Elephas maximus indicus: one gene and its partners. The protein of the gene in region 1 interacts with the protein of each later gene in a biochemical or structural test. Links are inferred from orthologs where the notes say so. Each region holds a gene or a part of one and is shown on either strand. Other genes may lie near its edges. The genes, in order: RIPK1, OTUD1 and BIRC3.

Evidence for each region.
Region 2: of the proteins of RIPK1 (region 1) and OTUD1, one has a biochemical effect on the other in vitro, tested with the Homo sapiens proteins (2 studies listed by BioGRID). The link is inferred for Elephas maximus indicus from reciprocal best matches to the Homo sapiens genes RIPK1 and OTUD1.
Region 3: of the proteins of RIPK1 (region 1) and BIRC3, one has a biochemical effect on the other in vitro, tested with the Homo sapiens proteins (5 studies listed by BioGRID, with this or other methods). The link is inferred for Elephas maximus indicus from reciprocal best matches to the Homo sapiens genes RIPK1 and BIRC3.

The regions. Positions count from the first base shown.
Region 1 is NC_064819.1:43,623,458-43,627,276, reverse strand, and holds the start of RIPK1 (receptor-interacting serine/threonine-protein kinase 1), read right to left. Parts: upstream 2,896-3,819; 5' UTR 2,615-2,895; intron 2,605-2,614; exon of another isoform or gene 1,833-2,604; intron 1,394-1,832; exon of another isoform or gene 1,318-1,393; intron 627-1,317; exon of another isoform or gene 493-626; intron 1-492. UniProt on the Homo sapiens protein: Serine-threonine kinase which is a key regulator of TNF-mediated apoptosis, necroptosis and inflammatory pathways.
Region 2 is NC_064822.1:32,369,002-32,372,820, reverse strand, and holds the start of OTUD1 (OTU domain-containing protein 1), read left to right. Parts: upstream 1-1,411; 5' UTR 1,412-1,508; coding exon 1,509-2,945; 3' UTR 2,946-3,819. UniProt on the Homo sapiens protein: Deubiquitinating enzyme that specifically hydrolyzes 'Lys-63'-linked polyubiquitin to monoubiquitin.
Region 3 is NC_064825.1:18,277,904-18,281,503, reverse strand, and holds the start of BIRC3 (baculoviral IAP repeat-containing protein 3), read left to right. Parts: upstream 1-1,305; 5' UTR 1,306-1,435; intron 1,436-3,600. UniProt on the Homo sapiens protein: Multi-functional protein which regulates not only caspases and apoptosis, but also modulates inflammatory signaling and immunity, mitogenic kinase signaling and cell proliferation, as well as cell invasion and metastasis.

The DNA of each region.
Region 1 (3,819 bases):
TGTACATAAGTTGATGTTCATAACCCAGGGGCTGCCTGTAGTCAATTTTGTAACCACTGAATATCTTAGGAAGACCTTGAGAGTAGTTTAATGAGGGATACCCAAGAGACACATAAACACTAACTGTAGGCATGCAAAGAACAGCATTATAAAGAATAGTTAATGACGGCACACTAGCTTGTGAAAACATGTTATGATAACCGATTTCAACTAATGATGTAACTGGGTCCATTTCAATGGAATCTGTTAGTGTTTCTGCACAATGGCTGCTATGCAAATGACTGTTAATTCAAAAATGGCAGTTAAATTTTTTTCCCACTGAAGTTAATAAGAAATTTCACAGATTGCTTCCCAATGCAGGGGCAAGTCTGAATACCAAAAGATTCATATTTACCTTTTAGTGGTCAATTTTTTCACCTAATTTATTTTTTCTTTATTTTTCAACTATGACCCTACATAACAAGCGTGTGACAGACAATGCTGGTTGCCTACCTATCTGCCATTGCGCCCCCTCTTCTTATTAACAGAAGCTGATTTTACTCAGGTATCCAACACAACCAAAAGGCTTCTCTTTAAGGTTTCTTTATTTTAATCTTCTCATGCTTAACCCAAGACAAACAGGAATTCTAAGGAAGAGCCAAATGATCAGTAAGAGACAGTAGGATTGAAAACTTTATATCAATTATCCCATCATGACCCAGTGAAATAAGTTCTTTACCATCATTCTTAATTTACAAATGAAAAAACTAAGTTAAGTGATTCACCCAGAATGGCCAATCAGGAATCAAACCTTTGTCCCTTCACTCCAATTTCTATCATCCATTCTCTAGTTTCTCTGGATCGCAAACAGTGACTTGTCTTTGGAAAAATCCAGATGCAGAGACCCAACCTGACAGCCTTGCTCACCTGTATGAGTCTGCTATAGTCAGAAACACAGGGAATGCACAGGCTAAATTCTAAAAACATGAAAATACATAGCTCAAAACTCAGCATTATACAAGTTAAAATAACCAGTTGCCACGAAGCTGACTCTGACTCATGGTGACCCCATGTATGTCAGAGTAGGACCGTGTTTTCAATTGCTGATTTTTCACAAGAAGATCAGACCTTTCTTCCGGGCAGCTCGGGGTGGACCTTCAACCTTTTGGTTAGAAGCCAAGCTCATTAACCACTCAGGTTAATATACATAGTCAATCACTTTTGCCAGAATAAAATATCCAACCAAAGCATGGGAAGCTAGATTTGTTTTTCAAATTCCCAGATTATATCAGCAGTGTTAACATGTCATGGATTAATAAACCCAAAATAGTAGCTCACCTAGTTTGGAAGTTGATAGTTTGCCAATTTTACTCAATACTCATTAACATTCAAATTCCTGGAAGTACAACAGATCCTGGGGCTCAACATAGTTTCAGAAAGAAGAAGAAAAAAAATTAATCATTACTGCTGTTGTTTTCAGGAAGAATAATGATGATACACTCCAAATCTCATTCTAGGCAAGCTGAATCCTCCCTTTTTTGTATAGAAGAGCCACAGTCTTCCACATTTTTAAACCAACCACAAGTCTCTCCGACTCACGCACCTCTACGCTGGTTACAAAAAGTCCACTGAGTACTAAGTTACTCAGTATTTCAAAGTTCACTCCTTGCCTTGGTGACTTCAGGAGTAAATCAGGAAGAATTAATAGTGATCTAAAGACCAAAAAAAAAAAATTTTTTTTTTTTTTTTAAGACCCAAGGCTTGCTCCAGCGTTCTTTGATTATAATAGCCCCGTGCTCTGCCCAATATAAACAAGAGCTCTGAACACAGAAGAGCCAAAGAAATCAACAGACCCCGGAGCCTTGTGATTCTGTCAAATGCTTAGGAGAGGATGATGCAGCGTGTACTTTTCCGAACGCTGACGAGATTTTGGAGCACTTCACAAAACCCAAAGCCACGACGACAGAAGATTCCTTCTAGGGTTCTCACACTCGCTCTCTTGTTGCTGTGGCTGTTGACCGCTCCTTTCCCATCTGCCAGCTCACGTCTAAGATAAAGAGAAATGCTGACGTCTTTGCAGCCTGTTGAGGCTCCCTGTGCGACAGGCCCTTTCCAAGGGTAAGTGAGCAGTCCCAGCCAAAGACACCTAAGGAACCCTGTTATGGCAAGAGCACGCGCTACTCTTAATGATCCTGCAATAACACCCTGCATCGCTACCAACACAGCACAAGTAACAACCACAGCGTCTGTTCGCAGTCCCATCGAGATGGTCGCCCCAGACCAGGTCGCGGCCCTGATCCGGGACTCGAGCCCACACCAACACTTCCTCCTCTGAGGAAGGGGCGCGCAGCCCTGGCCGGCCGCGGACCCCAGGGCGCGTCTCGCACACCCGCCTTCCGGGAACGCGCGCCCCGCCCGCGCCCGCACGCTGGATTCGCTTTCGTTTTCGCCACCAACTTCCTCCGGCCCGAGTGGGGAGAGTTAGGGGTCGCTGACGCGGCGGCCTCTCCAGAGGGCAGCAGGGAAGGGAGCCCAAACCCCCAAAAGGGGCCGCCCTGATATAGGGCTCGGGGGACGGGACCGGCCCGAGGAATGACCGCCGTTCACTCAGCGCCGCCCCGCTAGGCACGCTCACCGTGCTCGGCTCCTCGCGGGCCCCAAGGCCTGGCCTTGACCACTGCGCACGGGCGCCGCGGGCTGCGGGCCGCCGTCTTCGATTTGCGCTTCGCAGGGTAGCCAGGTCCAGAGGCCGCTCCGTGCGTGTCGAGTGTCGGCCGCGCCCAGGGGTACTCAGGCGGGAGGCGTGGACCACTTGCAGCTCCTACGCTGCTCCGCTTAGTTCTCCTCCTGATCCTTTTCCACCTCTGGCCTCTCCTTCCTCAGCAACTCAACTTCCTTCTCCTGATCTTCCTCCTCCTCCTCCTCCTGCTCCTCCTCCTTCTCCGGCCCCTCCTCCTGCTCCAGCTCCTCCTCTTCCTACTCCAGCTCCTCCTTCTCCACCTCCTCCCCTTGATCCTTCTCTTGCTTCTCCTTCACCTACTCCTTTTCTCACTCTTCCTCCTCCTCCTCCTGCATCTCCTTCACCTGTTCCTCCTTGTCCTCCTGCTTCTCCTCCTGGTCTTGGTCCTCCTGATCCTCCTCCTGCTCCTCATCCTCCTCCACCTGCTCCTCATCCTCCTCCTGCTCCTCATCCTCCTCCTCTCCTCCTGATCCTCCTCCTGCTCCTCATCCTCCTCTCCCTCCTCCTGATCCTCCTCCTGCTCCTCATCCTCCTCCCCCTCCTCCTGATCCTGCTCCTCATCCTCCTCCCCCTGCTCCTGGTCCTCCTTTTGCTGTTGGTCCTCCTCCTGCTCCTGATCCTCCTTCTGCTCCTGGTCTTCCTCCACCTGCTGTAGGCCTCCTCCTGCTCCTAGTCCTCCTCCTGCTCATGATCCTCCTCCTACTTATGGTCCTCCTTCTACTCATGATCCTCCTTGACCTTCTCCTCTTCCTTCTCCCCATTTTCTTCCTCCTGCTCCTGGTCATCCGACCTGCGCGGGAAGGAGGGAAGTGGACTCTGGCCCTACTAGCAGCCAGTGGGACAGGAGGAGATCTTGAGGGAGGAGGGGGGTGATACCCCTCATACATTCCCAAATGTCTTTTCACCACCACTCTGAGATTGTGCCCCCAGATTGAAAATCCCAGAGCACTGTCTCTCTTTACTTTTAGAGATCCCCTGTCAGCTAAAGGATGGCGATTTTAGTTCATGTTAAGGAGAGTTGAAGGGCCAAAGAAAAAGTTACCAACTCATAGAAGCCTCTGTGACATTGAAGAGGCGCTTGGCATAGCTGGAGCACTGGG
Region 2 (3,819 bases), on another chromosome or scaffold:
TTTGATGGTGACATAATCTCCAGGTCCAATTTGAACTTTTTAGACCCTGCTGATTTAACATTTGGAAATCCTGGTGGCATGGTGGTTAACTGCTTTGGCTGCTACCCAAAAGGCTGGCAGTTCAAATTCACCAGGCAGCCCTTGGAAACTCCATGGGGCAGTTCTACTCTGTCCTATAGGGCCGCTGTGAAGTCGGAATCCACTGGAGGGTACCGGGTTTTTTTTTTTTTTTTATTTAGCATTTGGTCAAAGCTTTGAAAATATGAATATTCTTTTACAAAGAGGGCAATACTAAGATAGTTCAGTAAAAATGTTTTCAATATCCTACTGTTTTTTTTTCCGGGTACTCCCTCTTCAGGATCCAATTCACGACTCACTCTACCCGTCCATAACCTATGAGTGCGACTGCACACTTTAAAAAGATTAAAAGAAAGGCTGTTTTAAGGGCTTCCTTTCGACCAAAGAACGCGCCAGCTGACTGGTAGGAGTTAGACAAGCCGCAAAGTTAGTTTCGTTTCTGCAGGGCAGAAACACCCTAGGCGGGCGGGGGGAACCACGAGGCTTTAGCGTTTTTACCCAAGAAACTAGGTCAAAAAGACGACAGTGGTGAACGCAAGCAGGAGTGATAGCCCAGGAACCTGCAGGGGACAAACACGTTTAAGGCAGCTCTGTCCTCCACACCGAGTTCGGAAGCCTCTCCGAAAAGCACGCTTTCAAAGCACTCTAGCTTGCCCCAGACAGCGCCTATCCCGCCAGTCCGCCGAGAGCGGTACAGCGCGGAAACCTGTGGCTGTGGCAGGCGAAGCGCTCCGCAGCAGTCACCCGGGCTCCGACCAGGAAGCCCACGGCCGAGCAGGCCATTAAGCCTTAGCGCTCCCCCGCCCGAGGCCCCGCGCGCGCGCCCGCCACCCGGCCCGCCAGAGCGCGGCGAGCTCAGCCGGCCACGCCCGTGACGTACGCCCAGCGGCAGGCGGGCGCGGGCCGGAGGGGGCGGGGCGAACCCTAGCGAGTGAATGGGGCGCAGCGACGAGCCGCACATTCCAGCGGGGCCACGTGACCCGGCCGCGCGGTCTGAGGTAAACAAGCCGCGGCTCCGCCCCCGGCCCCCTCCGCGCGCCCTGCACTGCTTCTCGCCAGCGGGACGCGCTCCAGCGGGGCGGGCGGCTTCCTCCGACAGTCCCCAGCGCCCGCCGCGGGCCGGAGCGAGGGGAGCGGGCACGGTGCCCCGGGTCTGCGGGCCGAGTGCGCCGGCAGGGGTCGAGCGCGCGTCGCCTCCCCGCCCCCACCGCACGCTGTGGCGCAGCAGGAATTTGGCGGGGACCCGGGCGCTATTTGCGGTTCTTGACGCTCTGCAGGAGGCTGCTGGTGGCCCTTCGCTCATCGCTATTCTCGGGGCACTGGGTCATAGCTCTCGGCCGGCAGCGACCGGCCCCCTCCCCCTGGCCCGGAGGGTGTGTCCCCGCACGGGGGCTCGCTGCGCCTATAAGGGTTGAGCGGCGGGTAGGGAGATGCAGCTCTACAGCAGCGTCTGCACCCACTACCCAGCCGGGGCACCGGGTCCCACGGCCGCAGCCGCCGCCGCGCCCGCCGCCGCCGCCCCCTTCAAGGTCTCCTTGCAGCCGCCGGGACCCGCCAGCAGCGCGCCAGAGCCCGAGACCGGTGAGTGCCAGCCCGCCGCGGCCGCCGAGCCCAGGGAAGCCGCCGCCGCCGCCGCCGCCGCCAAGATGCCCGCCTTCTCCTCCTGCTTCGAGATGGTGTCCGGGGCCGCCGCCCCCGCCTCGGCCGTCGCCGCCAGCCCGGCCGGCGGGTCCTGCAAGCCGCCGCTGCCGCCGCACTACACGTCCACGGCGCAGATCACCGTGCGGGCCCTCGGCGCCGACAGGCTGCTTCTGCACGGGCCCGAGCCCGGCGCCCCGGCGCCCGCCGCCGCCCCGCGCGGCCGCTGCCTCCTGCTGGCCCCGACGCCCGGCGCCCCGGTCCCGCCGCGCCGGGGCTCCTCCGCCTGGCTGCTGGAGGAGCTGCTGAGGCCCGACGGCCCCGAGCCCGCCGGCCTGGACGCGGCCCGGGACGGGCCCGACAGAAACTTCCGACTGAGCGAGCACCGCCAGGCCCTGGCGGCCGCCAAGCACCGAGGCCCCGGGCCGCCCCCGGGGAGCCCGGAGCCTGGCCCCGGCTTGTGGAGCGAGGAGCACCCGGCGGAGAGGAGCCCCCGGGGCTGGGAGACGGGCGGCGACTCTGCGGGCGCGGACGAGGCGCGGCGGCCCGACCCGGAGGCCGAGGCGCCCCCCACGAGGGGCGGCGAGGGCGCCCAGAGAAGCGCGGCGGAGGCGGGAATCGTCGCCAGGTCGGATCCCAGAGACGAGAAACTGGCCCTGTACCTGGCGGAGGTGGAGAAGCAGGACAAGTACCTGCGACAGAGGAATAAGTACCGATTTCACATCATTCCCGACGGCAATTGCCTCTACCGAGCGGTCAGCAAGACGGTGTACGGAAACCAGAGCCTGCACCGGGAGCTGAGGGAACAGACGGTGCACTACATCGCTGATCATCTCGACCACTTCAGCCCCCTGATCGAGGGGGACGTGGGGGAGTTTCTCATCGCCGCGGCCCAAGACGGGGCGTGGGCCGGGTACCCCGAACTGCTGGCGATGGGACAGATGCTGAATGTGAATATACATTTAACGACAGGAGGGAGGTTGGAGAGCCCCACCGTGTCTACCATGATCCACTATTTGGGCCCCGAGGATTCCCTAAGGCCTAGTATTTGGCTCAGTTGGCTCAGCAATGGACACTATGATGCGGTATTTGATCACTCATACCCTAACCCGGAGTATGACAATTGGTGCAAACAAACTCAAGTGCAAAGAAAACGCGATGAAGAGCTTGCCAAATCCATGGCAATATCTCTATCCAAAATGTATATTGAACAAAATGCATGCTCTTGAAATGTTTGAAAACCAACACCCTGGGAAAATTGCCTAAGTAGCTTGTGTTTGGAGAATTACACGAACTCAGAGTAATAGCACTTTTAAACTTCCTCGTAGATGTACTGTAGATGTAATGCCTTAATCTTGGTTTTTTTTTTTTTTTTTCCTGTTTTCTCCCCAGAGCTGAAGATTGCTGGGCACCTAAATGATGTTTTATGAGAGCTTTGGGTAATCCTACTGCTATTTATAATTTGCTGTATAAAGTTAGCACTACTTGATTTGCAAGCTAATTTCTCACAGTGTAAATTCGTTCATTCCTGGCAGTCTATTTTCTATAAAAATGTATTTTTGCACAACACTTTTAAAAATTGGTGTACCTTCATCTGTGACGTGTTCCGTTTTGACAAACAGCTTTCAGGCATAATTCCAGAGAAGTGCTTTATATGAAGTCTATCGTTTTGAACAGAGTTTGTGATTTAATAGTTATTTTATGTTGTTGAAATTTGGATTTTACAATTCTTAGATAATTATTTCAGATAGGTATCGATGAGTTCATGTTATCAGATTATTGGCCCATTCCATTTTGTTTAAACGGAAACAGATTTGTCGTTTTGGGATCTTTATTTTTCTAGAAATGGTCAGTCTTTTAAAGAAGTACTTAAGGGAACGTTGCGGGGAGATTTTTTTTTTTTTTTTTTTAGGGGTAGTACCAGCACTTACTTGAATGAGAGTCAGAGATTTGCAGATGGCAGAGTGATTCTTCTGTACTCTGGTTGATGTTTAAGTAGATTGTCTGGTGCTCTCAGTTTGTATTTGTCATTTTGTTATAGAAGGATTTTCACATGGTATAAAACTTTGTGACAAGATAAGCCTCCTGCTTTGTATAGCTACT
Region 3 (3,600 bases), on another chromosome or scaffold:
TATAACTAATGTCACTGAACAACTTGTGTAGAAATTGGTAAATGGGAACCTAATTTGCTGTGTACACTTTCAGCAAAAACACCATAAAATATTATTTTAAAAAAGAAAGGAAAGAAAACCCTACGGAATACAGTTCTACTCTGACAAACATGAGGTGTCCCTGAGTCGGAATCTACTTCATGGCATCTGGTAGTTAAATACATTTAAAAAGGTGCTGTTTCAATTTTATTCTAAAATGTGTTTACATTTTGCAGATCCTTTGCAACTATGACAATATATTAAAAAAAGGTGTTAAGTTAAAAATGTGTGAGGGAATATAGAGTTTTTAAAAATTCTTTTGCTGAGTATATGATTAAAAATGTGTGAAGACCACAAAATGTTTTAGATAATGTTAAGGGTGAATTGAAAATGCTTTAAAAAGTCTTGAACTACGTAGGCTCAAAAGTAGGTTGAAATTTCCACGATAGATAAACAGTCTTTCAGATATAATTCCAACTCGAACTCTAGCTGCTCTGAGCAGTTTCCTAATCCAGAAGGTACCTCAGTCCAGCTGGATTCTGTACTGAGCGGACTGTGAGCCCTTCTGATTTCCGAGGATGATGAAGTCCTGAATAACGTATGTGGGTTGTACCTTTGGCTCATAACTGTCTTTGGTCTACAGGGCCTATTGGATCTACAGACTCTCCCAGAAGCCAGAGAAACCAGACGAGCAATCCCTCTGTTCCCTGACATAGCTAAATATACTGCTTAGACAGGCGAAGTTGATGCAACGGTGGCAGTGCAGTTAGACTCCCAGACTTCTGGGTTTACACGAAAATGTCACTGAAATTAAGAGACTTCTTTTGTGAAACAAAAAGGCTAAAAGGAGGATTTCTGAAAAATAGCCAAGTCTGCCCTGGGACAGAACTTTCTGGGACAGAACAAAAGTAAAAATAATCATAAAGATTTCACAAAGTTTCAGTTTTCTTTTAAATACTGGAAAACCTAACGCTTTTTACATGTAAAGTGTTTGGGGCTTGAAGGGGTAGCGGTGAGGACTGACCTTTTCCAGTTAGGCTGACCAATGATCATCTCTACTCCGCTTATCAGGGTTTCCTCTGACCCAAGAGCAATGAAGCAAAGGTTTTTTCAGTAAATGCCACGCGGATGTGCCACTAGTTAAGAAACAGTGACGCTTTTAGGGCCATGGAAATCCCCGACCGGGTTTGCCAGGCTACTGATTAAGGGAACTATATGTGGTTATTACCGCCGGAGTTCCCCTAAGTCCTAAGAGGAAAGCACCAGTTTACATGCAAACCAGTGAGGAGGAGGGACAAAAGTCGGGGTATTTAAAAGAGCGCAAGGCTCCAACCCGCGCGGAACCGCCCCGGCGGCAGGTGTCACCGAAGCAGACTAGCAACGTCGGTGCTGGAGCGCGTCCACCTCGGGAGAGCAGGTTGGTGGCGACGCGACCCGGGCGGCCGTGAGTGTGCGCGCGTGTGAGCACGCGTGCAGGCCCCACTCCCACCCGGCGCGGGTAGGACCCAGAGACCGAAGCCGCGGCGCCAGGGGAGGGCGGGTTGCGCGGCGCCCGGCCGGGCCTGCTGCTCCCCCGGGGGCTGCAGGCAGCTGCAGAGGGCGAAGGTCAGTGGGGTGGCATGCTCATCAAACACTGCCCAGGCCCGAGAGGCCGGCCCCAGATCAGCTCCCGAACCCAGAAGGGCTTTCAGATAACAGAGCTTTCAGAGCGGGTCCCCGCCAGCCCGGGAGCCTCTTCCTGGGCGTGCCCCGCGCGCTCTTCCGGCCGGTCCCATCCGCAGACGCCGCGACTCTGCGCTTTCCGCCTCGGGGAGGCGCCCGGCTGCAGGGTCCCGGGGCCGGTGCGAGCTGGTCCCTGCGCTGCCCTAGCCGAATCGTACCCCCGATCCGCTTACCTCTCGGGAGCTCAGTGCCAGCTCTACTTTTGGGGTGAGCCAGTGGAATGGTGAAGCTTTGGCATTTGGCTTAATTCGATTATCAAGAGGTATCACCGGGTCTTTGAGGTGACAAATAAGCTTCGGGACAGAGCCTCAAGCAGATCTTTGGCACGGGAAGGACTCAATCAAATATTCAATGAACAAATAGAGGAATGTTTCCCAAGTGGTCGCAGAAAGACCAGGGGGGTTTTTTTTGGCGGGTTTCCTGGTTATCAGCATGGAAACCCAGCAGCGCTCTTAGATCTGTTAAATTGCCGAAGGTATTTAACTGATGTTTTTTTTTAAGTAACTAACAATAACATTACCTTTGTTAGCTAAAATTTATTGCTAACGTTAAGTGTTGCTAACAGTACTATAGGAGCCCTGGTGGTGCAGTGGTTAAGAGCTCGGCTGCTAACCAAAAGGTGGGCAGTTGAAATCCACCAGCCTCTCCTTGGAAACCCTATGGGGGAGCTCTGCTCTGTCCTATAGGGTTGCTGTGAGTTGGAAGCGACTCCACGGTACCTAACAACGACAGTATTACGCGCTAGGGCAAGTTCCGGAAACTTTTATGAGTATTTTTTGCGTTTAGTTCGCACGGACTTAGGAGCAGGTACCACGGTTATCTCCAAGTGACAGTAAGGAAACAAGGCTTATATAGGTTTACCTGTTTAAAGCTCTACCCTTAGTAAGGGGGCACAGAATGGCATTGGAAACCCAAGATGTCTGACTCCAAAGCCTGATGTTAAACCAGACTCAACAAATTTTGTGGTCATTAATGTAACATTGAAGTCCTTAATACCCTGCAAATGAGGGTACTGTAGTCATACAGGGCTCAATCAAGTTTGCTTACATTCACTTCAACAAACAGTCTTTAATAGCTACATACATTATAGGCCAGGCCCTGTGGATGCTGGGGGGCAGTAGAGATATAACATACTTCCTGCTCTGAAAGCTCTCACAGCCTAGGAGGAGGCAGAAAAAAAAAGGCACATTTACTCTCCAGTGTCAGAGATATAGATATTCTGTGAGAGCGATGGATATGCCGAGTGCCCACGAGGGTGAGGATGCCCAACAACCCACCACAAATATTAGAGTAAGAAGAGAAGAAGCTGGAGACCTGAGTCAATTTGAGGAAAAAAAAAAAAAATCTGTTGCAGTGGAGTCAATTTTGACTCATAGTGACTGTACTAGAAAGGAAAGAGGAATTCTAATAGTGGAAGAATTCAGAGAAGCCAAGGGAGGAGAGCATTTCAAAGAGGGTGTGAGTCCCAGTGTCAGATGCGAAAATTTCCATTGCTTTTGGCAGAGAAACGGTGGGAATCATTAGTACAGAGAGCAGTTTCAAGTGGTGCTGACTAAAGCCAGTTGTAGTGGTTTAAGGAGTAAATGGGAGGGGAAAAAGTGGAGATATTAACAATAATCAGTAGAAGTTTGCTTGGCTATGAAGGGAAGGTAAAAAAAAGAGTAGTGGCTAGAGTGTAAAGTGGGATTGAAAGAGGATTTTGTTAGTTTTCATTTTAAGCTGAGACAGACTTAAGCATGATTGTTATGTTGAAGGAAAAGATTCATGTTGAAGGAAAAGATTCAGTAGATACATTAAAAAAATGAGGGGCGATAGGGTTAGGAGTAAGACTTCTGAGGCAGTGGGATAGGATGGGATCCC